Caenorhabditis elegans: one gene and its partner. The protein of the gene in region 1 interacts with the protein of each later gene in a pairwise test. Each region holds a gene or a part of one and is shown on either strand. Other genes may lie near its edges. The genes, in order: fbxl-5 and pbs-7.

Region 1 (16,974 bases):
GGACTTGGGGAATACAAAGTAAAATTGAAACTAAACATTTCAAATTGCAGATTCTTCAACACCACACCTGTTCTGTACTGCATTATTCTTGGATTTAACATGGCTGCCATTATTTTCTACAGTGTTTTTGTTTCGATCCCACCTTGCACTCTACAAGAACATCTGAAATCTACCAACCGCATTTTGATCAATCATGATGAATTTGAATGCACAAAAGATCCAATTGTATATCAAACTTATCGGATAATGATTGATCGCCTACAGAAAATTGATACTAACATTTGTATTATTTCTTGGATTCCAATTACACAAAGCACGTTTGCTGCGTGTACATTTATAATTCCAAATTTAGGTTTTTTGTTAATAATGGTCAAAAATACAATACTTGCCAATGGTGGTCAGGCTTGATTTGTACGATCTCAATTGTTTTTTTTTTGAAAGTGACTATATGAAAGTCCTGAATAAATTTGTAGATTTTTTGTGTTGTTGTTAAAAGTGTAATAGTAAAAAAATTTTGCTAATTTTGATAATTGCAGAATTCAGATATTTTCAAAAATTTTCAAACCATATTGTCATTACAATCGAAATTTTTTTAAACTTTTCCTAAAATCAATAGTTTTCGGAAAAATTGGAGCTTCAAAGATGGAATGTTTTGAACTTGTTTTGAACATGTATTTTTTTAAAAATGCATCAAAAGTTCTTTTTCAAAACCTACGAAATGTATCCCTTTCTCCGATGGCTCATATGCTTCCTGTAATCCAATTCCTCACCATCATAAAGTCATAAACCTTTTCACTCTCAGATACTGCATACCTCTGGGTTCCCAGGTCAATAATCTTTTCCTCGGCACTCCATCAGCGGCCTCTTTGGTACGCATAAATACTCAAAAAGTGGCACTTACCTAATCGTATTACGCCACTCTCATTCTCATCATCATCCCTCGTTCATCCCGAGACCGTAAAATGAATGAGGAAAATCGGGTTTCGAAGGCTTCGTTCTCAACACAGAAGTTGACCGAAAGAGTGTGATGATTTCAATTTGTTTTCCAATTAGCGTACGACCTTCTCGAATGTGATTGAGATTTCTCCATCGTCTCGAGTTTTCAAATAGTCTTTTTCAAAAGAAAGATATATAGAAAACTAATTTTGTTTTTCTCAACCTACTAAACTTTTGAGGAACATTCAAATTAAAAAAGAGGTTTGTCCAATAACCATTCATTTCGAGATTCTCGAGATTTATCTTTGGTTTCTCGATGTTTTATTTATCTGCAGCTGAAAAGACGTTTTAATAACTAATGTAAATTTTGTCGCCCTGAGATCCGGTGTGCCTCATCGCAGTTTTACAACTTGACGTTAAAGAAGGCGCACGGATTTATTCAAATGCTTATCGTCACGATAAATTAATTTAATACCGGACTGTATTTTTGAATAAATTTATATTTTTCTCAGCACTTCTTGTTGTTAGGCTTGCTTCTCGAGCTCCCTACATTTTCAATACTTGCGCTTCTAAAAAACCCAGTGATTTTCGCTTTCACCACTATCCAAGTGTTGTTATTGGACTTTGCGAATGTTTTTATATCCTCTCATAAAATGGTACTTTACCCTCCTTCCTGCCGTTCTTTCTCCAGAGGTTTTGTGGCGTCGGCGAAGCTCAAAAGCGCCGTCTGGGTTTTTATGTGTCGCATTTCAGTTACAACCACCACATCACCGAGAATATGTCGAATGCGAGGGGGTAGAAGAGTGTGAATAGTTTGTGATTCGAAGAGAAAAAGAGAACGAACATCGGGTGAAACGAGCAGAGGGGGGATAAAAAGAGGAGCCGGTGGACGGACGATAGAGGGGGAGGAGGAGCCGATGAAATGAATGCGCGAAATACGATACTTAGAAACATATGGGGAGCTTCTGATGATGACGATGATGATCGGAAGAAAGGTTTAAAAACTGCCTACTTCCGCCGACGACATCTGTGGGTTTTTTTGTCATTTGGCGGAAATAATTTGTTCATTTTTTTGAATAGAGGCGTTGAAGGTAGTACAAAGGTGAGTGCAGAAAATAAGTCAAAAGTAAATAATTTTTCTATTCCCAGATATCTGTCCAGCTCATTTTTGCTTAATCAGTACAATTGAAACTCACTTTCTATGATTTTTTCTAATCTTGCTGAACTGTTGAAAGCAAGTAAAAAATATGAACCTTTTTTAGATAGTCATTTGAAAGTACACAATTGAAAATTGTATTTGGTAAAATGTCAGAAAAAATGTCGAAAGAAAATTTAGACTATTCGCAAAGACTTACACTTCCAAACTGCAGGAAATTTTCAAATCTTCAAATTCTGTCGTCCATTTCTAAAATCAACGTGTCACCCAGTCAATCAACTATTCAGACACCCTTGAGAGCTCATGGCGCCAACCTTGGAGCGCCCGTCTTTTTTTATCCACCATCTCTTCCTCTTCCATTTTTGGTGACGTGCCAATCATCTTATAACTGATTTATTGAATGAGTGTCCAGGCAGTAGCCGCACCCACCCAAAAACGTTGAAAACCTAGTCCCTTTCCTTAACCATCGACCATATTTCAACAATTTTATGGGCTTCGAATGCGCCTCCTAACCCAGAAGTTTAACTAATATTGTCCCCCGTTTCTTTGTTATTTCTTTATTTCCTTTCATTCACCTACATTCGTTTTCATGCGGCAGGGACTCATTTTATTATACGGTTCCGGTTAATACCCTCTTCTTCTGTAAAACCTCAACGGTCACGGCCATATGACTGATTTTTCGAATACCAAATTTTATCACTTTCTGGATTAGTCTCAAAGAAAAACTGGTTCCCTTTGTAATTTCATTAGTTGTCTACTAATTCTACAGTATTACGCCACACACTCTCTCTCTCTCTCCTTCCCTCTTATTAGAGCCGATATGATGCAACTTGGCAGGTGATGAATTGTGACGGCATGATTTACAATAGACGTACAGGTGGCTCTTGTGGTCTTACCGGATATGGTGCATGTTATATTAATGTAGTGGCTTTTTTTTCAAAAACTTATAATTTATTCTCATTCTTCTTTTTTTTTTGCAATACGTGTTTAACAACTCATACCCCGTTTTTTTCGGTGTTTTCTAAGAATTATTGCCTGGGAAAACATTTTGTAACTTTTTTTGAAACGGTAATCTAAGATATTTTTTAATTGAATTAAATTACTTTTTTTCTAAATTTTTTTTGAATTATTTGAATGTTTACTTCAATGCAAATTGGCGACAATCGGAAGAACTCTACTGGAGATTATATCCGTAGAGGAAAAGATCCCAGTAAGCGACATTATCTATAAAGTTGAATCATTAAAAAACGTTGAAGTGTAAAACCAAACAAGCAATTCCGTTTTCATTTTAGCTGATAAAACTCAAACGTTTTTTAAAATGAAAACAATTTCAAAATTATCACTTCCCTATTATTCCTCTGCAACTGCCAATCACTCGGCAAACTATTTTTAAATGAAAATGTCCATCAAATCTATCACAAAAAACCTCTGAAACGAACAAAAAAACGAAATCGACTGCTCTGCATTTCTCTAGACCCTCGTGTAAACCCATTAAACCTACGTTTGTGGGTCATAAAACAGTTGGTGTGCAAAAAAAACTGTGGCAGTGAAAGAGCCCGAATACGTCAAAGAGGGACCGATAAGGTCTGAAATAAAAGACTATGTTTGAGGGTGCGTGTGGAGTTCTCACCTTCTGTTCTGACTTTCTTTACTCGTTGAGTCAAGGTGAATGAGCAGATGTTCAGATGTGGTCAATATCTGATTGACGACGATGTTTTTGGATGTTGTAGCACGTAAGTTATTTTTTTTTCAGTTTTTGTTTGTCGTGAATATATTCATGAATTTAAATTAGGTCTAACGGCCTAAATATGTTTAGACAATAAGTTTCAATTTTTGTTAAGCTGGGGGCTTTTTCCTGGGTCTTTTCTTGTAGTTAGGATTACCTAAAAGTTGTAACACCTATGATTTCAAATGTGGAAAAATATATCGGAACTAAACCTGTGTTCCTAACAATCTCTTACAATTTTTCTCGTATTAGAAAGGGTGAGCTTTCCACAGTTATTTGCTGTTTTCAAGAACTCCTATCGCCTATCGACGTTCCGTTTTTAGCTGAACTCCAACGAATTAATTAATGGCGGAGTATCGTCATTGAAGATTTAGATGAGAGAAAGAAAAAATTTAGAAAAAATTAAATTTGCAGCATCTTTTGGTAAATTGGCATAATTCAAAAAAAATCATACACTTTTTTTTTTAATTTCGATAATTTCTCCAGAAAATTTTTGCTATGAAATTTGGTTTTTTAGTTCCATACGTCTGATTTTAAACGATTTCTCCCATTGCAAAACTCTACCTTCAAATTAAGAAATGTTTAAATTACACTCTGTGATTGCCAGACAGTATTCAGAAAATAGTCGATAGGCAGGCAGGAATTCTCACCTCGGTCTCCTCTTCAATTTTTAGCACCTCTGTCAACTCATAGGTGCGATCCAAATTGAGATTTACAACCCGTAATAAGACTCATTTTGCCATTTGAATTATTCTCTATGTCCATATTCTCAACTATTTGCATTTGATTAGTACAAGAGCCCTTTCACCTGTTCGGTGTGCACACAATGCTCTTGAGATAATACCAGGTGGGCGGGATTCTTGAGTCCCTTTGGCTTGCGGACACTTCTCCAATTAGTCTCCCTTTTCACTTGCGCAACCAACTTTTTTTGCCCAATTTTTTGTAGCTACCTGTCACCGCCATCTGCTCATTACCATTTGCTTCTGGTAATTCTGTCTGATTTCCTGCGCACGCAACAAAGACAATGCCATCATTCGTTTTTACTGCTTGCTGTTCGGTCAGATCTTGGTTAGAGATACAGTACCGCCAACAACTTTTATGACTTTTCCTTAATGGGGGTGCCTCCTGCTGTATCATCTGGAAACTGTTACCTCCGCCTTCTGTCACTTTTCGACAATTCCGATGATGGCTCAAAAATTGTTATCAGTCGGGTCTTGAGGCGGCGGCAGGCACCGGCCGGCACCGAAACTGACAATGTCGACCACCTGTCAATTATTCTGAATGCACTTTCCCGCAAATACATGCATATAAAGGTGGTCTCGTGAACGATGATGATACATGCACTATACCCCGTTTGTTCTTCTTATCACTGTTCTGCATGCAAGCTTAGGAGGGCTCTTTAGTAATTTATTCAACCGAACAAATAGTGTTGTAGCAATTTTGTATATCAATCAAATTTAGTTTAGCCTCTCATTTTTGTAAAACTTGTTGCCGTTATACGGATTTTCGTATCACCAAATTTAGATCCTATTTGAAATGTTCTTCTTTAAAAATTTTTAACGAAATTTTTCTGGAATTTGCAGGCTAGATACTCAAATATCAGTAATCCCGTTCTATAAAAACATGTTTCCTTTAAAAAATCAAAATTTTGAAATAATTGTGTAAAGAGGTGCTTGCTTAAAAAATAGAGTTCCCTCCCTTTCTTAATAAAACAAATATATGTCTAGAATAATTCTAACTCCAAATAACTGAAATTTTTCTGATATTGACATTTTATGCAAATGACTGACTGTCAATTAAGTATTGGCTCAGTGCCAACACGGAAAATATGTTGCTTATAATTTCACTAAAATAAAATAAAGTCATTAAAAATTTTGCGGCAAAAACGGAGCCAATGGCAGTCTTTTCACTTCACAAATTTCAAATAAATACAAAAGTCTTCTGGCTTATAAAGTGGTGAATTAAAATAGTGAGTTAACTAATTAATTGTTTCTTAATTTTCCAAAAACTCCCCACTACCACCCTTCCGTATTATTCCCATCCCGAAAAAATTTAAACGTTTCTAAAATGCATTGTTGTCAATGCACATTGTTGCCACCCGATTGATTATCCCCCTTCTTTTAAGAGAACTGATGACAAATTCTAGTACGCCACGAACGTCTTCCCCCTCCTCCCCCGTCTTCTATCTTGCCAAGGTGACTGTGTGTTGTTATCTTTCGGTCGCGCCAAAAATTTTCCGCTTCTATGGGTACCGGGTTTTTGTCCAAGTCGACCCATATGGTGCCAAATCAAGCGGAAAATTACAAGGTTGGAGATGGTGACGGACCGCCCGAAAATCTTAAGATGCTGTTAGTGATACTGTAGGTTTTTGGAACTTTTTTGTCTTTCTGATTGTAGATCGTCTTAGGTTTTAACATGAGCAGTTATTTATTTGCATTTATTTGATAAAACATAAAAATTTCACATTTTTTCTCCGTACCCTTCTAAAAATAAGTCTTTTTGAAATTCTACTTCCAGTCATAACGATAATTTTTGCTTCAAAACAGTGTTTCCTGTAGATTCATTTAAATTTAAAATTTCGGAAAATTTTTTGTTGAATGTAAACGTAACAACCACAAAAATCTGCGCCCTTTATTTGGTATTCACATTTGAATATATTTTTTGAATTTTTTGAAAATGTTCCATCAATTTTTAAGACACATGTTTTCAAGAAGCAGATCAGTTTATATTTCTTGATTAGTTATCAACTTTAAGCACCAACACATTTCCCCATTTATAATACTATTTTAGTACCCTTTATTTTGTCTACTCCTCTTCACTTTTGCCCTTTTCTGACGGACCGATCAACTCCTTCTCTCTGATGAATTGTTGAAGCGGAACATCTTCAGATGTCATTATTGATATTGATGGCTTAGTACTTGAGTTTCAATTACAAGCTTCTGAGAGCCTTCTCTCAGAGTGTCAGAATGTGTGTGCGCACACCCTTTGCAGACACACACTTCACTGGACAAGGGGACGGGGGACGGACGGACGGGTGGGCCCGAATTATGAGTGACAAGCCTCGGACACACGGCCGAGTCGACGACAGCTAAAAGTCTCGCGGGAAGAGCGCGTAAGATGAAGAGACGCCGACGTTTCGAGTATGGGATCCTTGGAGAGAGCGCGACGATGAGAGTGTCACCGGTGAGAGAAGAGACGTCGATTGGCGGCGACAGTTATATTAGTGTCGAGATGGATGAAGTGCTGACGGAGATTGACAGTCCGTCGTTGCGACGAGGCCCGCGCCATCTACTGAAAGAACCACACCTCGGGGAAAAGTAGACAAGGCACATTTATTCGCTGAAATGACTGATCAGAATGACATTATTCTGGGTTAAACTGATTTCCCAGAGGATCCTTATTTTTGCAGTGTAGCTGTTAATTTTCTATGAATATTTAAAGTGGAAATATATAACCACATTTTATGAAGATGGCGTCAAGACGTATTAGGGGACATTTTCTGTGTAACGCCTACTTGGTTTTTTCAAAAAAAAAATTGATCTGGATTTGTTTAGGCCTTAGCTCAGGTTCTGGTTTAATGCTAATTTTGGGCTTGAGTTTAGGCTTAGCTGTAGGCTGAGTCTTGGAAATAGGCTTACGTTCAGACTTAGGCAAGGACTTCAAACTGCTAGGACTTCATGAGGTTGCGGCTTGGGCTTGAGCTTAGCCTTACGCAGTCATAGGTGGGTTTTAGGATTAGATTCAGGATTAGGTTCAGGATCCTGCTTAGTCTTCTGTTTATGCTTCTGATTAAGCATCAGCTTACACTTAGTTCACCTAATTATTAGCCTAGATCCGCGAATTTAGTGCAAATCTTAAATTTCATTTCAGCCTAATTTTTCTGCTCAGCTTGCCCACCAATCTAGTTATCAGGGCTGTAAGCCTTTTAGATCAACCTTGAAGATAGATCCTTCTAGATCACTGTCACATTTTTGACAGCTTATGTCGGATAACTGCTCCAGTCATTCAAATTTATCTGCGCTTTGTGTGTCATTCAAAACTTTCAAGTACTTACCGCTATCCTCCTCTATTTCTGCTTTCTCCTTCCTTGCCTTCTCCTCCTTTTTCAAACATATTCATTCTGAAACGCACCGCGGGCACGGAAAAAAACGTCCAGGCATCGCTCATTTTGACGGGGGAGAGAACCTTTTGCTCCGAGAGCCCTACACCGCCATCACCGGAGCTTACATACACACAGATTTTCGGCAGATTGTCACTTTTTTGTGTCCGAGTTGACCTGTCTCGTTCAAATGATTGAAATGTAAATCTCTTTCATATAATGCTCTGTTTTCTAAACTCGTAAGCTTCAATCACTCTTTGAAAAGGACCAGCGTGTCGGTTTGAAGTAGATTGGCAAATTGACAAACGGGTCGAAGTTGAGATATCTGCCAAACTTCTACGAGAAGCTTTTTTTATATTCGGCTAAATCTCTGTCAGATACTCATGACTTCTTCATTTTTCAAATGTTTGCGTCAATTTGCTGGAAATCTTATTTCCAGAATAATTATTAACATTTTGAAATTCTAGTGGCTCACATGTAAATCCCATATGCGCTGATGGCCTACTTAAATGTTTTGAGATTCTGATTCTTTTTTATTTTGATTCTTACGGGCAAGCCGTACTAAATTGGTTTTAAAACGGCATTAAAGGCGCCAAACTATACATTAAAAGTCAAAAGCCCATAACTTGGTTGTTTAGCATATTTCCATCAAAGTTTTAGAGTAAATTTCAAATTGTCTAGCTATATTTCAAGACTATTAGAACTGAAACTTAAAATTTCTAGAAACCGGAACCTAAACTCAGTTTACATTTTTCCCAAATCTCCCAAATCATCTTCCCAAACAGTAAGCTAATTTGTCACATCCGTCCTACTTTTTTTCTTTCACTCATCCTAATCTTACTATGCCATCTAATTTCTCTCTCTCAATAGATTCCATAACTGGTTAAACCAACAGAACCGTCCGTCACCATATTCCCTTATTGACACCCGGGGTGATTTCTTCATCTGCTGACCAGACAAATTGGCACCTTCCGTTACTTTTTTATTCCCAACTGCAACAATATATGATAAGCGGATTGTCATTTCCATGATGTCTTCTGTCCGCAAACATGCACTACGCCAGTCAAACCAGCTGTTTTCTCCCGTGGACCTGCCAATTTGTGCGCCTATTTAAGGGGGATGGCTGATTCGTTTTCAAGTGACGTCTTTTTTGTCCTGCTCCGTATCTTGTCATCATCCCTCTTGTCTTCCTATTCTCATCTGTAAATTTGACATGTTAATTGACACATAATAGTGATGCGTTCATCATCTGTAGCACAATCTTCCCACTTCCGGTATGCCTGTCTTCTCGGATATCTGCGAAGAGACCCAGATTGGTCGACAGGAAAATTTGGTGGGGAGGCGGAGCCTACTTTTAAATCATTTTTCGTCTCGAATCTCTCTGGTTCTTCACACATGTCATTCACCTGTTCCATTCTCTCATCTGAATTTTTTGCATTTCTTGTCACTTTTATTTTCCTGCAAAAAACTTCCGGATTGTCAGTTTGCCAAATTGATATATACTTTCTTTTTTTACAGTTTAGCACGTATTTAGCACAATTTTTGTGATATATGAAACTGTTAATTGAATCGGTCCTTCAGCTACAAAACCCAGGGCAAACTTTTTCGAAAATTTTCTACAGAGTTGGGCCAGCCCACAACATTTTATGAAAACGTACTCTATTTTTTTTAAATTTCTCCTACCCTCGTATTGTTCTTATCCGTATTTTTATCACTAGAACTTTTCCAATTAAAATTGTTACCTTTCAAATTTCCAGAATGGATCTCAGTAGCATGCCTGACGATGTGCTCATCCGCCTTCTGAATACCGCCTCCCCGAATGATGTGGCTCGTGCAAAACGGCTAAACAAACGATTTCATCAAATTGTGGACACTTTTAATCTAGGAAAACCTCGTGTCAAAGAGTTTTGGTGAGTTAGAAAACATCACTTTCTAAACTTTTTCAATGACAGTATTCAATTTTTCAGCGTGGAATCTCGTGTCTCACCAATATCACCTTCAAAAATCGGTCGTCTTCGTCTAGGATCCACGTCGAATGCTCCAAAAAGACGTGTTGTAGTCACGATGAGAAGGGATCGTGGTGTGAAAAGATCAGAGAGAATCGAAGATCCGTCACGCTCAACCTCATCAGAATCCGCGAATTCGTTTGTGCAGGAGAATTTGAGAAAAGTCGAGTTACAGGAGAAGCTTTCCTTTGATGGAGTTACGTTGGACGAAGAGTTTTACAAAATGCTCACAGCGAAGAAGGAGGCGTTGAGGTTGGTTTTTTTTTTGAAATTATAAACTTTTAAAATAAAAAGTATCTAAAAATCCCTGCCTGCCTTTTAGAGCACTTCTTCGCCTGCATCGTTCCACACGAGTTTCTGGTTTTTTTGGCTAGTTGAAAATTCAGAAATTCCATAAACGGCTCACCATTAAGTAAAAACGAGCAAACAACTTCAAATTGAATAGTTCAATATCTGACCAATTTCACTGATCATCTTGCGAATAAGTACAGTAGTTTTGTAAAATAATTTTTAACGGCACATTTTTTTGCTCCAACTATGCTGCAATTTTTTCTTATGTCGTTGGATATATTATGTAGCTCTTTTTGTAATAATATCTTGCAAAAAAAAGTTTCTAAATCACCCGATGACTCTTCAAAAATGCCAAACTGTCCCAAATGTATTACTGTAAACCGTCAGAAGGTAGCCAAACTGTCATTATTTCGTTTCTCTGCCTCCCTTCATTTCTATTGGACAACCCCACAGACACACATCAAAATGTCGAAAATGTCAAACAAGAAAAGTGTGTGCCTAGAGGAGAAGTGGGAGGAAAAAGAAACTGAAATATTATATATACATTTTTGACTTTTTTGACTTTTTGACACGTGTCAACAAGCCAACTTGATCGTTACAGACATGTCACCACGCTGGCGCTGTCACTGTGTCATATCCGACTCTCATGGACACAATTCATGGACTTGCTGTCTCGAATGACCATCAAGCATCTATACATTGATTTCTGCACATTTCATCCGTCATTGATCTCTGACAAGGTAAGGATTTTTTTGCAAAAAAAAAGATCAGATTTTGACAAAGTTTCCTAGAAATTGGGAACACTCGCGTTTGAAAGAACACTCAGAGTTAATTTGTTAACTAATTATTTTTGTTCATTAAATATTTAGAAGTAATAATAATATTCAATTAGTCCATAAGAATTTAATAAACCTTCAATCACGTTATCTCAATTGCCTACCTGCATACCTCATGCAGACCTCAATAGTTCGAAAACCAAAAATATTCATGGATACATTTTTAAACAATATTAGATTGAAGAAGTTGGAGTGATGATGAACCCACCATCATTTGTACAATTTTCAGGTGCTGATGTCTCTAACTCACTTGGAAACAATTCAAATTCAACCAAGATATCCTTGTTTTCTCAACGAAGTTACTGATCAAACACTAATTCACTGGGCTACACGGACAACAGCGCCAAACACAATCCAGTTCAGAAATGGGTGTGCAAGTCGAATAACAGTGGATGGAATTAGGCATTTAATGACTGTAAGTTTAAGATTGTAATATGAAATGGGAGAAGTATTTCTATTTGGACACAAAATGAGAAAGTTTGGCCCCCAATTTGGAGCTTTATGGCTATTTTTTTCCAGGATTTTAACTTTTTAAACTTGACACGTAGCCACAAAAATGTCAACCTCCGCACCGAAAAAGTTTTCGTAATTTGTTTGAAAGGTTGCTTACTTTAGTGTTTCAGAATTAATTCTTGTAGGGAAATTTATCGCTATGGGAAAAAACTCCTTAAATATAGTCTTTAATTATTCCTTTCATTATTTTTCCTGTTTTCAGAGAGCACTCTCGACTGCTTCAACGCCTAACAAAATGGACTTGGATTTCGGACTTCTTCTAGAACCATCACAGTCTGAAACTTCACTCCTCACTTTTATCCTGTGCCCGGGACTTGATTTCAAGGTGACCGACGACTTTCGTTCCCGAAAAATCAGTCTAAGCCGTGGCAAGTTCTGCCTTCAATTTTTCATTCCAGCACCTTTTCCAATTGGTCCACACTCTGTGGCGATATCACCCTAATTTTTTTGTAAAATTGTTTTATGTTAACAAATTTTCTTTTTATTTTGAAATTTCCAGACACTTTCCATTTTGCTTTACGCGGGTTTTATCCGTCACATTTCCGTTATTTCTTTTTTGAATTTTTGATAGTGAATTTATTTATTGAACTCAAAACTATGAAATTTTTTCAAATTGCACTTTGTCTTGCACATTTCGTTCAAACTTTTACAAAAAAGTGTATCACCGGAAATTGGAACCCACAAGTAACAAGATACATAACACATGAAACAACGACAAATCTGCCATCATCAAAAAATTTTTATGATCTAGTAGTTATAAATTGCATGTTAAAATCTAACAGTAAGATTTTATATCTCAATTTACAACTACAGTACTGTAGCTACTGCAGTGTGCGTCATTGTTAGGGAACCCAACATTTTTTAATATTGAAAGCTGAATAATATTCTTTAAAATTTTTTACAATTAATTGGTTAAGAACATAAAAATTTAACATTTTTTAAAAGATACCATGTTATCGTGCATATTCTGCGCAAAAATTCGAAATTTTCAATTGAAATAGTAAAATTTATTCGAATCATTTTTTATTAAACATAATTTTAAATTAACTGTTTTCACAATCAGTGAAATGCTAACGAAGACCAGTAAACTTTGATATTAAAACACGACAAGTGAAAAAATAAACACGTTTTGAGATCAATTGGAACTATACTAAAAAATTATTTATCTAGCACAATAAATTATCCATAATCATCAATCATAGTAATTGTCATAAACGTATTTTGCTCTCCGTTTCACGTTTTCCGTCAGTTTTCCAAGAAATGCACTTGGATAGTCAGTGTCTCGTAGAGCACCAAATTTCAGAGTTGAATTCAGCCATTTTCGTCCCCAATCTCCAAGAGACAGATCACGGTAATGTCTGAAAAAATAGACTTTTGGACAAGTTAATAGTTACAATTGTGCTTTACCTAACAAGTCCTTCTTCCGGATCAACACGAATTTGCACATAATTCGAACCATTCGTCGCAGGGAAAAATTGTGTTACGTAATGAATAAACATGATGAACACTTTCGATGTATCAACAATACATTTTGCAGTATGTCCCGGTGGACCAATTCCACTCGAACTATGCCATCGATGAGTTGGCATCCATTTGTCCAACTGTCGATCACCTTCATATTTTGGTGGCATCAGTTCAGTTTTCATTATCCATTGCTGTCTGAATTGAATACTCGCAATACTTTCATTTTTGACGACCTGGACGTAATCCAAAATTGTTCCCGTATAGTTTGTCATGTAGATTCGTTCGTCTAGATCAGCGAAGATGGTCCATTTTGTCTCTCCGCGGGACCATATTAAGCAGTCCTGAAACATTGGACAGTATCAAAAATTGAAAGTAATCGGTATATTTTTTCTTGAATCTTCTTCCTGTGTGCATGCAAGATCTACTATCACAAATTACTTGGCACAATACTTATGCATGTGACACAACTATTTCTAACTTCTATCATTTCAGAAAAAAAAAACTCACCGCAAGATTAACCATATGCCAATGGTTATCAGCCCGCATATCCCTTTCGATAAGATAGTGTACTTCAACTTCTCCCGTTCTCACATAATCATTAATCACTCTCATATCATATTCGGAAGCATGATGGATATGAAGGTAAAAGTGTTGGACACCTTGTAACTTGAAATGCTCTATCATTTCGATAAACATCAACCATTTTGGTTCATCGCCGTAAATGGATGCAACACACATGGAGAGTTCGTATTTTGGTTCTAAAGTTTACAAAGTTTTTTTTTTTTTTTTCAAATCGTTAAAAATTGTAGATAAAACTCACTTTTCAGCATTCTATCAATAATTGGTAATGGAAAAAAGTCTCCATTCTTTTCGACACTTAACCCAATTTTCTTAGTGCCGTCTCTCTTTTTACAGCTGACAATATACTCTGGATACGTGAGACTTTCAAATGGGATTCCAATTTCGATATTGTTATCATCAAGGTAACGACAGTAGACGCGATGTCTGGAATTATCTGATAGTGAGATATGATCTAAAATTGAAATCTCACCCCATACGTTTCCAAGAAGTTGTTGTAACAGTAATTTCGTGCTCAAATTCATATGCATACAGCGTGCTGATGTTGCTGGCTGTTTTCTGGAATACGTGAAAATTTTGAGGTTTCACACAAATTATTAAAAAAATATTATGCATATGAAAGGGCTGGCTAAAATTGTAGAGCTTTGGTAACCCTTTTTTAATCAGATGTTTTTAAGAAGATTAAAAAAACCATCTTAAAAACAACTGAATCTTCACGAAATTTTAAAAAAAACTTACCGGTCTGTCATTTGTTTTTCTAAACAATTGAAATTGATACCAGTCAAACCGATCGAATCCATCAATAAAATATGATTTGTTTGACAAATCCAGTGTTGATGGCACATTTATTAATTTTTCTGATTTTTCAGCATTTGATTCCAGTTTTCCGCTCGTTGGTGACGATTCCGTGTAGCATGGTGAAATTCGAGAACTTGGAAATAATTCTGGCTTGTTGGTAAATATGTCAAAGACTAATAATAATAATAAAATGATTATTAGTATGAATTGATATATCCTCTGCATCTGAAAGATTTCAAATTAAATTATGCGGTACTTTGAGGTTTAAAAAATGGAACTTTTGAGAAAAAATGAAAATTACATCCTTCCTACGACGAAAATATTGGCACATGCCAGAATTATTTTATTTGATCTGGACTGAGAGTAAAATATCTTCACTGTGAAACAAATATTTTCGCTGCAGAAAAAATGTTTCAAAAGTTTACAAAGTTCAATTTTAAAAGAGAATTAACGATAAAAGCTATAAAAAAACGAAGAAAAAATAAACTTCCACAAGGGAACAAATTTTCAAAAAATTATCAATTTGAAAAAAAATCAAATTCCACATGGCCTCAGAAAACTTTGGCATTTGAATTACCTTTGCTCACATATGACCTCCGCGTGTCCTTTTTTTCGACCTCTGGAGAGCGTGGTAATGTAAGGGTATGATTTTTTCCAAGATTTTCAGAGAGTTAATACGTTTGAAACGCGAAATCTCATTTTTGAAGAGAAAAATTCGAAAAAGTATGGAGATTACACTTTTGTTCTTGAATTAATGAAATTTTTTCGACTAACTCAAAGTCGCAACAAAATGTTTGTCTGAAAATGTTTTATTTACAAAATTTTATTTGGAATTAAACTGACGCGTATAAATATAATTTTGATTAATGATTAGACTTTTTTTTTGTAAAATAGAAGCTACCATTTTTTAAGTAAACCTCAAAAACTTTTCTGGAAAAAAATTAATAAGAAAAAGGGTGTGGTCAAAATAAAATGAATCAGTTTTTAATAAAATACAGAAATGCAGAAAATATGACTACTATTGGAGATTGCGTCAAAAGTTTCCATGACTGATGTAGTTTGATTCAGAACTTTCTGAAATGACAATCATATGGGTGTGTAGCCACAAATATTCAAACATTTATAAATCATAAAATTTGAGGTACTCTTGTAAAATCTGATAAATATACATGAATATAAATATGCACATGAATATATACATGAATATACATGATGATGATTATACATGATCGAGTACAAAAGTATTCCAATTGTTTGTTTTGATCATTTTATTTTAATATAGAAAACTGTGAAAGGTGTGTTTTTTTTCAATTTTCAAAGAATTGTTAAAGTTTGCAAATAAAGAAACGTTCGTGATGTCTCTGGTTTGCTCGGAGTTGCTAAGGAGAAAAAACGGGGAAGGTATAAGATTGAGGAAGTGTTCAAAATATATATTTCATTAAATTCTGTTTTTTTTTAATACTTGTAGTCTGAATTTTGTGAAAATCCTTCAGAAATTAATTAGTTAGTTCTTCTAGAATATATTTCTGCAAAATACCTTTTTAGAGTCAAACTTTTGTAGTAATTATAGTATTTTTAAAACATTGACGATAATTAAATTAATTTAAAACTCGACTCATAAAAGTGAGCTTTAATCCATGGGAACCAATTTTCAAAGAGTCTTCCTGAGCCGATTATATTTTTCGGTAAAAATAAATTTAAGGCAACATGCAATAGATTTTGCTCATAAACCTCATGTTTGCACCTCAAATTAACTATAATAATTTTCTAATTTTTCAGGCATCATTTCAAACTTTTAAGAACAAAATTAAGAACACAATTTAAAAAATAAAAAACAGATACTAGCTTGAACGTGTGTAAAAATAAATACATCAGAAACAGAAAGGTGTGTCTTGAGTGTTATCAGGGTGAGTTCATTTGTATATTTTAAGCTTTTACGACGCCATAAAGCTTTGATGGGAGCAACGTATTTTGCACTGCAAATTTGGAATTGATTTTTCATTGTTTTAGTTCTAAATAAATCTGGTATTTTCAGATAAAAGCAGGAACTACTCTTTGCTAGAAAACTTGATTAAATCAAGCAAACGTTCGAAACTTAAACATGAAGACCTTTGACTGAAACTGAAAATTTTCAACACAATGTTCTTTTTAAAGTTTCCAGGATATTGTTCAATATGAAGATGTTTTCTTTTTTCATGACTCACATCTTAATATGGTTGTGTGAATTTGACTTTCTCTGCAGCCACATAATAAAAGCTGGCCAGTGTGTTTTTGTATGTGGCGTGAACCGTTTTTTTTCATTCAGACAAGGAAGGACAGCTCGATTTTTGAAAAACATTTTATTTGAGTAATGTTGCTTTTTTCCAAGCCACTTCACACAACCATATTAAGATGTGAGTCATGAAAAAAGAAGGCTTGGAAAAAAGCAACATAATGAATTTACACATTTAAAGTTTCAAGTTTTCAATAAATTCTTTATTTTTCTAGAATTAGTAGTAACAAATAGTGCAACTCAACATAGAAACAATTTGAACTGAGCGCAGACCTAGGTCTAATCAGAGCTGCTGTTA
Region 2 (15,821 bases), on another chromosome or scaffold:
CACCATAATCAGCAACATCAAATGGTTCAACCACAAATGACACGTCATCAGATGGCCCAACACCATGCTCAGCAGCCACATCCGCAGATTTATGTGCCGCGTGACATGAATTTGGCAGTGCCACTGAGAGAACCCTCACCTGAGCCGGTAACAGATGAATGTACATTTTCATGTTTCATATCTACATTTTTCAGATTCCTGTCAAAATTGAGGTTCCAGATGTTCCTCCAGAAGGTACATCGGCTGCCAATGAGGAACCAATGCCAGATGATGGTGATATCGATATTCAGGTACTTTCTAACAGCAATCAATCATCAAAACTTGAAAATATTCCAGATTCGAAATGTTGTTTGTAATTATACACTCCCTTTGCACATTGATCTTCGAAAATTGGCAATGAACACTCATAACGTGACATATGAAAGAGAAAAAGGAGTAATGATGAAACAAAAAAGATCGCCTGGTTGTTATATCAAAGTATATAGTTCTGGAAAAGTATATATTGTTGGTTGCCGGAGTGAGGCGGATTGTAAACGAGCTGCACGTTCAATTGCCAGACATGTTCAGCGAGTTATGGGAAAAACGAAAGAACGAGTTTCGATTAGAAATTATCGAGCAAGTTTTGAAAAGTTTCAATTTATCTATTAAAAAAATTTATCTATTAAAAAAAAAATATTTAAAAAAAGTTCGCCTTCAAGAAGTACAGTAGCTTCCGCCATTTCCGATTTGTTTTTTTTTCTTTTAAAGATGTTTCATTTTTGTTAAAGTTATTACTTGTAAATTTAAATTAAATTGAAGAAAAGTGTAAAAATGTCAGTCGTGCAAACTAGTGTACTAAAATTATTTGACCGTGTATCGTAGTTTCACCAGATTTTTACATGCCTTTTTAAAGGCGCACGGATTTATTCAGAAAGGTCTCGGCACGCAAAATGTTTATGGTAATCTTTCTTTTTTTTTTGAAGTTTGAACATTTGGAGAGGCACCACGGTTTCAAGATCTGGTGGGGTTCCGGATCTACGTTTTGGTGCCAGATCTGGAAAACGTAGAACCGGAATCCACCAGATCTTGAAACCGTGGTGCCCCCATTTGGAAACAGATTTTTTAACAGAATTTTTTTTTAAAGCTGAAAACCGTGCAGTTTCATTGAAAAACGCAAACATTGAAGAAAAAGACTACAATAAACTTTTTGCGCGTCGAGACCCATCTGAAGAAAGTCGTGAGCCTTTAAAGAGCCATTTCAAAATTTGAAAAAAAAAATTACGATACCACGTAGAGTCAGGTTGTCCCATCACGGTGTGATCTACAATAAGTGCGGGTATTTTTGCTCAGAAAAGTGTGACGTCAGCACATTCTTAACCGTGCGACACCAGTTGGAAACTCTACGTCACGTTTCATTTTTTGTAGATCAGACTGTGATGGGACATTCTGACACCACGCGCGATACCGTTTTTGTGTGTTTGTCAATACCATAAAATTTTGCAACTTTAAAATATTTATCTAATTATTAAGTTTATGTGGAATTTAGGTGAACAACGTTCTGGCCACGTGCCGTCTTCCATTCGGAATCAAAATCGAAGAAGTCGCAGCAAAATATCCATCAGAATCCACATATGAGCCTGAACTTTCCGTTGGTCTTGTTTGGAGATCTGTGACACCAAAAGCTACTCTTCGAATTCATACGACTGGCTCAATTACAGTCACTGGAGCTCAATCGGAAGCCGATGTTCTCGAAGTACTCTCAAAGATCTATCCAATTGTTCTAGAATTCCGATGTCTCGAACGAGCCAAAGGAAATGTCGCTGCTCAGAAGAAGAGGAAACGAAAGGCACCTGTTAACAGAGGGTAAAAATTTGTAAAATTCTGGCTTCAATGTAAAAATAAAATAATTTTTTAGACCACCAATCAAACGCGAACGCTTTGATGACAGCAATTATAGAAATTCTGGAGTTATCAATAACCAGGTATGCAAATAAAAAGTGTTTCGGTGGTTTGAAAATAATACAAATTTAATTTTAAAATAACACATTTTTCTTTCAGGTCTATTTCTCTGATGAAGATGAAGATCTGTATGATGAGCTCGATTTAGAAGAATAGTTGTACCTAATTGATGCAGCCTACCCATTCATTGTAATTTTTAAAAAATCTCAATTTGCAATCATTATCTGATTACCTTTCTACATCATCTCGTCATAATTTCTCTAGTTTTAGCTTTCTATCTTCCAGTATATCTTGTTCTTTCAATTGTTCTGTGTGCTTCAAAATTCATGCTTTATCCGCTTTTTTCCTGTTCTTTTCTTTCTCTGTTTGCCGTTACCATCATCAACATCATAAGTCATCATCGAATCAACACAATCTCCTATCCATTTTTTTGTAAAATTAACACAATGATCAGAAAAACAATTCTCGCTTCCTTCTAGCTCTTTCTCTCTCCACATCCCACTATGTGCTCTCTACTTCATGTCTTCATCATGTTCCCCTCAAGCCCAGCAAATCTTAATTTTTCCTTATTTTCCATTATCTATTTTTCCTCATGAATCCCAGTTTTAAAAACAAGTAGCAGATTTTTTTTTGTTCTGAAACAATTCGCAAAAATTCCACAAAAAGTCCTTAAAAACAAACGAGTTCGTATTATAAAACTGTAACCTACCTTTTCCCAAAGTTGTTGTATTTCATTTTAATTATTTTAGAATGTGATTTTTCTACAATTCCCTTTTCATGATTCATCCTTTTTCTAGATTTAGTTATTGTCTCCCTTTACCATTTTTCTCGTTTTTGTCCATTAAATATGTTCATGATTAAATTTCAATGTCCGTATCTTTACAGAAGGTTTATGAATTTTTCAAAGTTACGAATTGTCAAAGAAACCAGAAAATCACAAAAAAGATTCAATTGAAAAAATAAAGAATTATTTACTGTCCAGTGTCCTTACGAGCTGTTGCACGGAACGCTCGTTCTTTTTCAAACTGGCGATTATCAGCTCGGTTTAAGAAGTCCATTTTGTTCAGATAACCGCCTTTCCCTCGGTTATGAGATTCCAAATCTTCCTGAAAAACAAACAATTTATTCAAAAACCTTAAACTTAAAGAAACATACTTTTAAATTATTTTGCGTCGTAAAATCTTTCCAATCTCGATCAGATTTCTCCAAAACAGAAATTTTAGAACGCTTCGACAGTGATTTTGCAGCATCAAGCAAGCCGACTCTTTTCTTTCCGGGTACAATGCTACTTTCAGACGATGTTCCAGCTGTTTCCGTTCTGAAAAAAATTATTAGAAAAATAAGAAAAAGTTGTTTTTAAATTTGTATCAAATAAAAACTCATGTCAACTCACTTTTTCGGATAAACCTTCTGATTTGTAGACTCGTTGGATGCAGATCTGTAAAATACATTTTTAAAAGTTATTTCTACTTGTTTCAAACATACGCTGCTGATTTTGGATACACCCTTTCTTCAGTTTTTGGAATATTCTTGCTTGATGTATCGTTGACAACTGGTTTCGGTGCTAGCCCAGTTAATTCTGCAAATATCGCATCCACATCAACACTTCCTTCAGTACTGTTTGCCTTTTCTGATGTATGGTCGTCACTTTGTTTTTCATTTTTCAGATGTTCAACTTCTTCGTCAATTCCATCTTCGCATTCTTCTTGATCATCGATCTGTTGAGGAGAATGAGCAATAAAAGGGCGATATCTAGGAATGCTTACTTCATCCTTTGGATCAAAATCGGTATCCTTTGTTGGATCGTAATCTTCATCGGACGATGAGTTGTAGTCTTCTTCGTTATTTTTAAGCTCCGAGGTCATTTTTCTGAAACAATTTATATTTTAAATAGTTTCACAATTTCAGTGAGAATTCAAAAGAATAAAATATGAATTAATATATTTATAAAATATGAATTAATTTATATTATAATATTATCTCAAAAAAAGTAGCGCGAGATAATTTTTCTTATTGAAGTACGCAATTGTGCGTGGTATTCAGTGTAAAATTCGACGGAGCGCACATGCTTTATGATGACTTAGCCGCCATTTTTGCATTTCATTGTCGAAATTCACTTCCTTTCATTTTTTCAAAGCACTCCCTTCAAAAACTTCATTTATATTGTTTCAGAACCAAAATGAATGCTCACGACGAAGTCCAGCGCACACTGTAAGTCATTAAACCTATATTCGTTTGAATTAACTCAATTTTTCAGGAATCCTACTTGTACCGGAACATCGGTTATCGCTCTCCAGTATAAAACTGGGGTTGTTGTCCTTACTGATCGAGTTGTTTCCTATGGAAAAATGGCTCGTTACAAGGTTTGAATTTCCGTTCAGCTGAAAGTGGATTTTCATAATATTTGTTTCCAGAATGTTTCTCGTCAATACAAGGTCAATGATAATGTTCTCATTGCCTTCGGAGGAGATCACGCTGACTTCCACTGGCTTCAAAATGTGATCGAGCGTCAGGTTCTTCTCTGGAAGCGCTTCGATCAGGATATTGGACCAAAAGCTCTCCACGGATACCTCACAAGCCTTCTCTACGCCAAGTCTGTTTTCCTAATTAAATTGAAAGTTTAAGTAAAAAATTTCAGACGTTGCAAGATGAACCCAGTGTGGAACACACTTGTTGTCGCCGGAGTCGAAGAGGAGGAGAAGAACAACAAGGAGACTAGCACACCTTTCATCGGTGTCATTACTCAGAAGGTAAACTTGAAAGCGTTAACTTGCCGGATCAGAATCTCATGATTAAATAATCACATAATAATTATTCTAAATTTCAGGGATGCGCATATCAAGTGAAGCACATTGCAACTGGACTTGGAGCGTTCCTCCTCAACCAAGCTGTTGAAGATGAGTGGAGAAAGAAGGGAGAAGACCTCTCCCGTGAAGAGGCAGAAGCCGTGCTTCGCAAATCGCTTGAACTTACTCTCTACCACGACTGCGTCGCTGACAATGAGTTCGAAATCGGACGTGTTGATGCGACAGAAGGTGTCGTTTTGGGTAAAGAAGAGAAGATTATTGGTGACTGGTCGATTGCCGAGACTAACTGTCAATATGAATAAGTTTTCCCCGGTGTGCAGGATGCGTTTCAGTATCTCCATGTTTAACTTATTTGTATCCTTCTTTTCAAAACATTTTACTCTCTCCAACCCACGTTTTCGGTGTAAATTTTATTTATTTTCGCGTGAAGTCGATAAATAAACTTCCATTTAATCCTTCTATTCACGTCTAAGTATTCACACGCATCATTTCACAAGTGCTCGAGTCAAAAATAGCGAGCATGAATTTCTCTGGTTTAAAAAGTATGATGAGTTTTTGGTTTAAAGTAAAATCGAGCGCTTTCAGGTAAACTCCAAAAGCTCAGTTTATCACCATCGCCTGATAAACAGAAATCTGATTATGAAAAGAAACAGGCGAAGAAGATGAGCTACAAAAAGAAGATGCAGCAGCGGTATAAACTGAGTGATGATCAGTATGAAACTCACAAGTAATTAAATAAATTGATGTATATGTAATAACTTATCTGATTTGGTTTCCAGGAAGGATGCTCAGAAACAACTGAAAAATTGGGAAGAATTTCGAAAGGAGCAAGTAGTTGAAATCTTTCATACGCAGTCTCAATACGTTTCGAAATCGAAAAATTCAGACGTGGTAAGCATACAGTATATATATATATATATCTCGCCGCGCAAAGGAAGTGCTTAATTACGGTTTTTACTATCCATCTAAAAAGTTAAAAAGAAATACATTATTTCTTGAAATTCAGCGCCATCCAAAGATGCAACGAGCCAATACGGTTGTCAATCGTCAAGGAGTGAAAGTTGATGTAGAATTTGGACGATTGAAAGAATACTACTTATCCACTTTGGCTCCACAAAAAAAGTTTGTGTCGATTCGTGATCACGTAACATAGAGATTATAGAGAAATTTACTTTAACCATGAACTTTAGGCAGCTCGTGAAAAGGAACTGGACGCTCTTCGTAAGAAACAGAAAATCAGTTTGGAGCAAAGGAAAGATAAACAGGACAACATAAAAAAGTCCCAAGCAGAGTACGATCAGATGAAAAGGTTTCAATGGGTCGAATGGTTTTATGTAGAAATTATCATATTTTAGCTTATACGCTGCCCCTGTCGATCCCAAGCAAACAAAAGTGGAAACAATGGAGCAAAAAGAAGTTTTAGAGCCAACAGCCCCGATGGAGAAATTCGGTAAAACTACGAAACAATACAGAAATCGGAGTGTTTATTTTCAGTTGTGAATACCACTGACGACAAAAGAGCCCTGTTCCCAGCCAGTTGGTATCAACAACCGATTTCCCGTTCGCAATTGAAGAAAGGAAAGATGATTTATTGGATGGCAAAAGACGAAGAGTAATTTTCGTGGCTTGCATCCGTTGGATCTTAATATTTGAATTTCAGAGAGGATATGACGTTGGACGATGATCCAGAGGGAAAGTACACGGTTACTGCTGAAAAGTTGATTGAGACAATGACTGCTGGGGGGAAAGTTAAACATGCTGGAATAACAGAACCACCTAGCAACACAGCAAACACCATCATGTCCGAGTCCTTGGCATCAATTAATGCGAGATACAAGAAGAGTTGTGAAAGAAATGCTGTTTTCATGAATACCTTGCACGGTACTATTGAATTCAACAAGAAACAAGTATCTGTAGATAAAACCCTCTCTACAAGTTCAATAAGCCAGGATGATGCGACCGAGTAAGAATTTCGAAACTGATTTTTCTCTAACGAGTTTTATTTTTAGCGCTCCGAATCAAATCATTTTTGCTCCAACAATCACTTCTCATGTTTTCAAAGGCCGATCTCTGAAAAGACAGTATGCAGTGAAAAATAAGGCACTTGAAACTTTTGAGGAAGATCGGAAGGATTACACTCGAGAGGCTGGAGAAGAAACTAGTGGATTGTAATTTTTTGTATTGAACTAGAAAAATAAAGCCTTAATTTCTTTTATCTAACAAACGTTGAAGAAAAAACACATATTTTCACAAATGAATATGCTTATCGATGTATTAAGCTTCGAGGGCAGCGAGTCTCTTCTTTTCGGCAACCTTAGCCTTTGTATCCTTCGAGACATAATTGGCTGGAACAATGTACCCGAAAATGTAGCGACGTCCAATCATTTCTCCGACAAAGAACCAAAAGACTACCTCGAGGGCAACTGCCGAGTAGACGAGACTTTCCTGAAGTTATTTTTTATTGAGTGTTGTTTCAGCGTGTAACAAATTACCTTGATACTAAGGTTGACATATTGCTTGGTCTCAATAAACTTCTGGAGCTTAGCCCAGTCCGCCTTGATAGCTGGGATGTCAGCAGACCGGGGTGGAGCCAGCTCGTGCTTTCCAACAGCCTTGAGAATAGCGAGACGGCGTGGGAACTGCTGAGCTTGATGACGGTAAAGAGCTCCAAAGGTGTTGGCCAACTTTTCGAAGAAGCTCAGCTTGTGGGTCGCCATCGCTGAAAATTTCGAGTGTGAATGAGAGAATGTGTTTCGAAATTAATAAGGCAATAAAATTGGGAGACGAGGGAATCAATTATTGAATAGATCATTAAAATTTATTTGTTCCTTAAATGAAACTTAATAGAAAGGGAATAATGTTGCCCATGAGTGCTCATTCATTAAAAAAATCCCCCAAAATACAAGCAGCCCGTTTTAATCAAGACAGTAGTATATTTGAATCGTGGTGGGACCCTTTAAGCAATCGAGAAAGAAATCCTTGGTTTTTTTAATTCAGCGAGGCTGTCCGCAGTTGAGCGGCACGGTGTTTGCGGACTTTTACAAACCGTATCTCATTGAGTTCCAAGGCGCCGTGGAAATTTTTTTTGTTTTAATTTTCATGAATGATTAGATTAATTAATATTAAGTCAGTTTTGAACGGTATTTTTGTTCAATTTTCTATAATACTTTCAGATGATAAATCTTCGAAGATTTGTGCACACATCGTGTCGGCTGGAACGAGGAAGAACAGCGTTCTACAACGTTCATCAAAAAGTGGGTGGAAAAAAAAACAAAACTAGCCACAATTTGATATATCATTTTCAGGTCACCGACCCAGCCAAGCAAGATCCGGATTACTTTGAGAAAAAAGCGAGAGAACTGCCACTGGGTGAGTATATTCAAGTACCGAGATATATATCTCTATTAAGTGATTTTCAGATCAAAACTACATCGATGCACTTACGAAGCTTTACTACGAAAAAATTGGCAGTGAACGCGATTTGGGTTTGAAAGCAGCTGATAATTTGGTATGATAATCAAGAGTTTTATAGATATAAGCAATATTCTTGCAGATTCTCGAAAAAACCGAATTCGGATTGCCTCGTATTGAAAAATCGAAAACTCGTGCGAAATATGAAGATTTAGATGTTCTTTCGAATGCTCCAGAGTCTGTCAAAAAGATTTTTAGTGTTGAAATGGCGACGAGAAAAGAGTTGTCACAAGAATGGAAACAAAGTCTTATCAAATCAGTAAGGCAGCATTCTCTCGATGAAAATAGTTTGGAAATGAAAAGTTTGTTTGAGAAATAATCACAAAATATTATCTAAAATTAATTTCAGTTGCCTGGCTAACGGCTTTAATTCGGCATTGGTCTCTTCTTGTTAATGACATTGGACAGGAAACCAAAAAAGTAGTTTAACATTTTAAAAAGGCAATATTTCTAACATTTATTGCAGAAGCCAACATGGCTCACCCATCGAATCTGGCTCGTAATCAATGAACGCCGTAAAGCTCTTCGTATTTTACGTGAACGTAATGAGACTGCATTCGAGAAAACAATTGCCGCTCTGAAAATTTCGTATCATGTACCGAAACAGCCAGCTCATGTGAAAACTAGAAAGGTAAAGTTTGCAAATTGATAACTTTAAACACTAAAAAAACAACAAATTTCAGGCATGGGCCGAAGCACAATTAAAGTTGAGAGTTGAAAATGAAAAAGAGAAGCGATTGGAAGAATTGCACGAAAAGTACGATAAAGAAGTTGAAGAGCATAAAAGAGAGACACAAGAGAAGAGGAAAGCATTGAATAATGAATTGGATAAAGTAAGCAAAATATACACTTTGAAAATACCCTTTTTAAAACTAATTTCTGAAACGTTTCAAATTCAAACGAAATTTCAGCTTGCTCAAGAAATGCGCCAAATTGACGTTATCGAAGGAAAATCGTTTGAAACAGTTGGAAAGTATGAACCAGCTTTAATCTCTTCACTTACTGAAACTGTTATTCATTCAAATCTCTTCTATCATCCACCACCAACTATGACTGAAAAATAATCTCATTTAGAAGTTCAGAATTTTTTTTGTTGTAGTAGGATCTTTCTTATTATTGTTATGCTATTATTGAATTAAAATTTATTATCCCTCCATGTTTCTATTATGATTTCGTTAAATCGGTTGTAAATCTTCCGAAACTTTCTATCTATTTGAACGATGGGAAAGAAAACTTGCGAATTAAATATAAAACAGTTCTTCAGATGTCCCGCCACCGTGCTATTCGAAATTTAAATTTAGAAGATGGTAAGCTTCAAAAAAAAGAAACCGAAGATTAACAATTTTGTCTTTTCAGAAATGGACGACGATTATGACGACGATTACGACGATTATGAAGATGAGGAGAACCCGGAAAGTAAGAAAAACTTTATTTTTCATTCAAATAATTAATTAAAATTTTCAGAGCAATATACATATGATCGTAATTCATTATCCACAAACTACTATACATATCTGACAGATAGTGGTCGCAATTCACCAGCTCTTCCTGCTCCACATCCTGGTATTCCATCATCATCGTATCATCCACCTGTATCAACTCCAACACCTACTGCAGCTCCAACAACTTCCCTATCTTCTACTATTGTACGAAATATGACAGCTCCATTGCTCCATCAAAATCAAAAACCACCGAAGAATCTTAATAGTCGACCGAGTACACCACAAACGTCTAGCAATTTGAATACTCCAAAAAGAACGCCGCAAGTTAAAAATGTGAGCTCGAGAATACTTTAAAAAATTCAACTGTAACTTAAGTTATCACGTAATCCAATACGAGAATTTTCTTTGAAAGCATCATTTCGCATCTTATTTATATCTTATATATACTAATTTTTCAGCTTCAAGCAGAATCAACAACTCCAACTGTGAGCCGCCCATCTTCTGAAGTCGATTTAACATCATTTCGACGCAATCAACTGCAGAACATCGCGAAAGCTCCGTCAGTTGCCCGAAAAACACCAAAACCAAGAGTTGCTGATAAAGATTTAATTAACTTGATTGTCGTTGGACATGTCGATGCAGGAAAAAGTACTCTCATGGGTCATTTACTTCATGATGTAAGTTATTGAAACTTTGAAAGTGTCGTCAAAATTTTTGGTAGAACATGAGTGAGTGTCAAGAATGCACACTTCGAAACTTTTCAGATTTTTCAACATTTTCAGTCATTTATTTATCGTTGAGTAGTTTCAAGCATTGCTGCAGTCTTGAACCCTGAAAATGATTAAATACGAATAATTACAAAGTAATTGAAATCTAAAGCCCTTAAAATCGTTTTATTGATGAATGAAAATCAGGGCGGACTCCGAAAACAATTATTTTCCGAAACCGGAAACGAAAAAGGTATTCTCGACAAAAACACTCAAGTTATAATTTCGAGTGTTTTTTTTGGATAGTAACACTGCCAAATTTAAGAATTCGTCAGTTACTTTATTGATCTCTTTTTTTTCCGAAAATATCTAAAAATAAATTTTCTTCAAAAGCAGGAAAAAAACGGAAACCGAAAAATGTACAGCCCTGATGGCAACAACAGTAAAGAATTTCCTTTTTTTGACTGTTACTTAAAACATTTTTAATTTTTAATAACTTATACTTCGTGGCTTGTTCGAAGCATTTTAAGTAAATTAACCCCACCGGCAACAGGGTTGTAGATTTTTTGTTCTTCCCTTTCTTCGTGTTTTCGGCGAAAAAAACTTTTCCTTTTCGTTTAAAAAAAATGTGGGATTCACTCAACTTAACTAAATTCTCATATTTCCAGCTTGAAGTGGTAGATAGCCGTACAATCGACAAATTCAAACATGAAGCGGCTAGAAATGGCAAAGCTTCTTTCGCGTATGCCTGGGTACTTGATGAAACGGAAGAGGAACGGTAAGATGGAATTAAAATTGATTTTTGTTAGCCAACCAAGCTTTGTTTTAGTGAGCGCGGAGTTACCATGGACATTGGAAGAACAAGCTTCGAAACTTCACATCGACGAATCGTGCTTCTCGATGCTCCAGGACATAAAGATTTTATTTCAAATATGATCACAGGAACGTCACAAGCTGATGCAGCCATCCTTGTTGTGAATGCGACCACCGGAGAATTTGAAACAGGATTTGAAAACGGAGGACAGACGAAAGAACATGCCTTACTGCTCAGAAGTTTAGGTATCTTTAAAAATATAAACATATCATTCTTAGGTTCTGCAAGAGACAATTTTCAGGAGTAACACAACTTATTGTGGCTGTGAATAAACTGGATACGGTAGATTGGTCCCAAGATCGATTCGATGAAATCAAAAATAATCTCTCCGTGTTTTTAACTCGTCAGGCTGGCTTTTCTAAACCAAAGTTCGTTCCAGTTTCTGGTTTTACTGGAGAGAATTTAATAAAACGAATGGAATTAGATTGGTACGATGGTCCATGTTTATTAGAGTTAATTGGTTGGTTTAAAAACCAAACTGATCGTTTGTAATTTAAACGTTTTCAGACAGTTTCGTAGCACCGCAACCACCTTCTGATGGACCACTACGAATTGGAATCAGTGATGTTTTGAAGGTTAGAAGAAGTTATTTAATATCGTATTATATTTTAATTTAGGTTGCATCGAATCAACTTGTCGTTAGTGGTAAAATTGAGTCAGGAGAAGTGGAAAAAGATGATAAAGTATATATAATGTCAAGTGTTACTGCAGCTACTGTGAAAGGTAGGTAGAAATCGAATTACTAATTTTCCATTAGAACGAAGTTTTTTAGAATGCGCAAATAATGACGGTTCAAGGCACTGCTTTGCTGGAGATTATATTCTATTGACTCTTCAAGGCACATTTGAACCTGAATCCATTCAAACAGGCTCTGTTGTTGTACGTGCTGGTCCAGATACTCTGATTCCATCGAAAAAGTTTGAAGTTCGATTGGTTGCCTTTGAAATTGCTATGCCTATTATCAAGGTATACTTTTGCATTTCAAATATAAATTTAAAAACGTATTGTTTTCAGGGTGCCAAAGCCGAGTTATATGCACATTCTTTGTGTGTTCCATGTACTTTCACCAATCTTCTGTATACAATCAACAAATCAAATGGAGAAATATTAAAAAAAGGACCGAGGTTAGAAGAGTAGTACAGAGTATTTAGAAATATTTTAAGCGCATTTTTTTTAGAAAATAGTTTAAATAATTATTTCCAGATTTATTGCTAAAGGAGCGTCGGCAGTTGTTGAAATCGAAACTGAATATGATATCGCAATTGAAACATTCACAAGTTGCCGAGCTCTTGGACGAGTCACTTTTCGAGCTGGTGGAAACACAATTGCAGCTGGAATTGTCGAGAAAGTGATCACTCCACAATAAATATATGTTTATTGCTTTCCAGTCACAAATAGTTTGCTCTTTTTATTTCTATTTCTCATTAGTTAATATCAATTCTATTCCTTTGTGATTCCACTGTTTTTTTTTCATTTGATGTACCAATTTCTATGGCCTTTCTTTTTAAGTATGTGCTAATAAATTTAATGTTCAACTTTAACAGTAATTTTCAAATAGCAAAGCACACAACGTAAAATTAAAACAATGTATCTGCAGAACCCGTGAGTTAAATACACTTACGGGGACAAATAAAAAATATATTATCTGTACTCTTCAAATCGATTTCACTGAAAAAATCTCAATTGACACATAAACATTTTTAAACGAGAAATATGGTTCCCTATTAATAGATAGTGTTCGGCAATTGGAATGGCTATCTGAGAATTAAATTTTAAGTGACAAACCACAATTGTTCAAGATTTTACGAAATTGTATCACGGAATTTTTAATTTCATTCCCATTTATCAAATATTTGCGAAAATGTTTAATTTGATCATTTCCATATGTTAATTTTCCTACTATGACTGAAAACAGATGTTTCCTCATTTCATGGGGGCGTGTCTACAATCATCACTATTTCCATTTCTTCATTTCATTCATTCCTCTTTCGTTGCTTTGACTCTGACTCCGCCCACCACATTTTCGCCTTTTTTCCGAAATTCTCGTGGTCTCCATCTCAACACCACTGATGGATGTAAGATGAGGCAGCTGCCTTCAATATTACTGATTCTTGTCTATTTTATTCGTTCTGTGGAATTGTTAAAGTATGTTTGTCTTTTATCTTGTAATCTTAGAAAAACACATATTGCCGTAACAATTTCCGACCTAGTTTACCCTAGGTCTAAATAGTTTCCTTCATCCCTTTTACTTGTTGAAACTCACGCTCATGACACTCAATCCAGCTTGATAAGTTTGTAGTTAAACAACTAATAAAAAAGTACGGTATCTAGCATTCGCAAAAACGTGCAACACTTAGGTTCTAAAAACTAACACGTTCAGTTTCTTTATGTAAAGAACATGTTAAATAGTTAACTTTGAGACTTGCCATGATCACTATGTGGAGAGATCCAACTAGAAAACAGCTTGCTAATTACTTTTATGGTGCTCAAATGGCTAATCAGTGTAATAAATGCATTTCCAAAAGATTTTTGAAACTTTTCATTCACAGTCAAAAAATTCAAATTAGTTGGTTTTTATCATATTTAGAAGCCCGACCGAAAATAAGCGTTTTAAGATTCTTATATTTTGTTTATTTATATTTGATTCGAACAAACAAAAACCTTGAAATTATCAAAAACGTCCAAATTTTTTGAAAATTTGGCAAGTTGCCGAAACTTAAAACTAAACTCATTGTAGAGTGTTTTATTGAGATATTTATTTTTTGACACACTACTGGCGTTACTCCACCTTTTCAGGAGACAACTTGTATGACTAATTTGTATGACTGTGGACCTAAATAAATATTTCTTCAGAATTTCCAATTTTCAACAATATTGTTTAAATGCTCCAAAATTACCATAATTATCATAATTGAACGCTCTGCAAATTCTTATATTTTCAAAATTACAATCAATGTGCTTGTAAATTATCAAATTTTTTGAAACTTTTGGATTTTTTGGGAAATTTCAATATTTTCTGCAGGCTCAAACTGCTGCGAAAATCAAATACACATCATTTACAAATAATTTAAACTCTAGATGAAAATTTTAGGACACTTTTTTAGCCGATCTGAAAAATTTGGAAAAAATTAGGTTACTGTCCCTGTTTGTCTTCACATAAATAAATATCGAAAAGCTTTTAAAAATCCATTTAAACATTTTTTTCTTACTCCACATTTGTTTCACATTATCTTTGCCAAGCTCACAAATTGTGATATTTTCAACATTCAGTTAGTTTTCAATTTGATTGTAAAATCAAATTAGCCGGTGTGCATTTCTAATAGGAGCTTTCAATTTTGGACATTTCATAATTCAAATCTTCAAATTATCCATTATTGTTGTTGTTTAAAAGAAAAGAATAGAAATAGAGACACAAGAGATTTCCCTCTTCCTCCCTGATTGGCACTATTCAAAAATGTATCCTTCTGTCGTTTTCTCAAATACTCTCCAAATCGTCTACTATTTGTCATCAGCTTTTGACGACGCTTTTGTATTCATTCAATGAATATAAATCGTGTTGGAATATTTACTCAATTTCTGATATTGGGGGAATGTTTTTGATAAGAAAATATCAATATGTGTAATGATATTTTGGCAGGAGAAATATTGAAACAAATTCTTAAAGTGACCAAACAAATTTGCAAGTTACAAAACTTTGACTTCAAACTTCTGAGAGTGTCTTCTATTATGATGTTTGGTGTAGGTTGTAAATCAAAAGCTTGAAAACTTAAATAATACCTTTTTGGCAATTATCCCCCGAAGTACAAGTTAAGCTTCTGGAAACCACCCCATAACGGTCAAATTTTTCATGGAATTCAAATTTTCTAGTGCTTGAATTACACCTCTGATGGGTAACTGTTATAAATGTACATATGTAGACAAAAGCTCCACTGATAATACTCCACTTTTAACTAAAGTTTATAAAAACGCCTGTTTTCAAACTTTTGTTTGTCCCACAAAAACATAGAACTTTGTTGTGAAACCATCAACTGTTTCCCTTTTAAAACTTCCATTTTTGTTTTTTCTTCATTTTTTCTATTCAATCTGAGCAGAAGACTCCCCAAAAAAGGAGCCATACAACAAGTCCCTCAGGTACATACACAATGAGATGGCACCTAATCAAATTTAGTACTACATAAGGCATCCCGCTCTTGCTACTAAAAACATTTCACAAAAGATCCATTGAAATTTCAAAAAAAAGGGGAAAGAATCTGGTTTGTGGAGAAAGAGGTAGTGAGCCAGCCTACTTTAAGAAGAAAAAGGAAAGAGGGTTTTACGATTTGGTTTATCTAATGGGAACTTGAATACTACAAAAAGATCATGTTATTGATAAATTTTATTTTAACAATTTTCAAGTAAATAGAGATTTCGCTGCCCAAAAATTGTATAGTTTTCAACACATTTCTTCATCATCTAATTTGAAATTTAATACCAAAATTCTCAAACTTTTCCTTTCCCATTTATTTCCCTATATTTCTCTATTACTCTCTTAGAAGCTATTGAAGGAGAACTTTGGGTGGTGAGGGTGTAATATTTGTTGATT

The links.
Region 2: the proteins of fbxl-5 (region 1) and pbs-7 interact in a two-hybrid assay, tested with the Caenorhabditis elegans proteins (2 studies listed by BioGRID).

Annotation. Positions count from the first base shown.
Region 1 is NC_003283.11:7,739,189-7,756,162, forward strand, and holds fbxl-5 (F-box domain-containing protein), read left to right. Parts: upstream 1-9,674; 5' UTR 9,675-9,675; coding exon 9,676-9,827; intron 9,828-9,884; coding exon 9,885-10,175; intron 10,176-10,815; coding exon 10,816-10,954; intron 10,955-11,279; coding exon 11,280-11,465; intron 11,466-11,765; coding exon 11,766-12,005; 3' UTR 12,006-12,180; downstream 12,181-16,974. Other genes in the region: srr-9 (Gustatory receptor), read left to right, coding at 51-408; gtnt-40 (Glycosyltransferase family 92 protein), read right to left, coding at 12,756-12,921, 12,971-13,368, 13,535-13,785, 13,848-14,032, 14,079-14,164, 14,345-14,629.
Region 2 is NC_003279.8:8,684,589-8,700,409, reverse strand, and holds pbs-7 (Proteasome subunit beta), read left to right. Parts: upstream 1-4,108; 5' UTR 4,109-4,117; coding exon 4,118-4,149; intron 4,150-4,195; coding exon 4,196-4,301; intron 4,302-4,352; coding exon 4,353-4,531; intron 4,532-4,576; coding exon 4,577-4,688; intron 4,689-4,765; coding exon 4,766-5,047; 3' UTR 5,048-5,205; downstream 5,206-15,821. Other genes in the region: tlf-1 (TATA box-binding protein-like 1), read left to right, coding at 1-147, 195-290, 337-615, 1,526-1,842, 1,895-1,961, 2,038-2,094; F39H11.1 (Craniofacial development protein 1), read right to left, coding at 2,910-3,044, 3,094-3,256, 3,332-3,376, 3,424-3,656, 3,705-3,803; K07A12.5 (Pre-mRNA-splicing factor SYF2), read left to right, coding at 5,266-5,287, 5,331-5,472, 5,525-5,636, 5,752-5,889, 5,936-6,054, 6,101-6,195, 6,240-6,357, 6,406-6,708 and 1 more; asg-1 (putative ATP synthase subunit g 1, mitochondrial), read right to left, coding at 7,020-7,190, 7,238-7,462; mrps-15 (Small ribosomal subunit protein uS15m), read left to right, coding at 7,919-7,999, 8,051-8,114, 8,165-8,253, 8,299-8,518, 8,566-8,636, 8,683-8,847, 8,900-9,049, 9,128-9,280; hbs-1 (Tr-type G domain-containing protein), read left to right, coding at 9,481-9,523, 9,573-9,632, 9,681-9,991, 10,117-10,335, 11,034-11,143, 11,195-11,424, 11,481-11,699, 11,747-11,814 and 4 more; hot-5 (Homolog of Odr-2 (Two)), read left to right, coding at 13,320-13,384.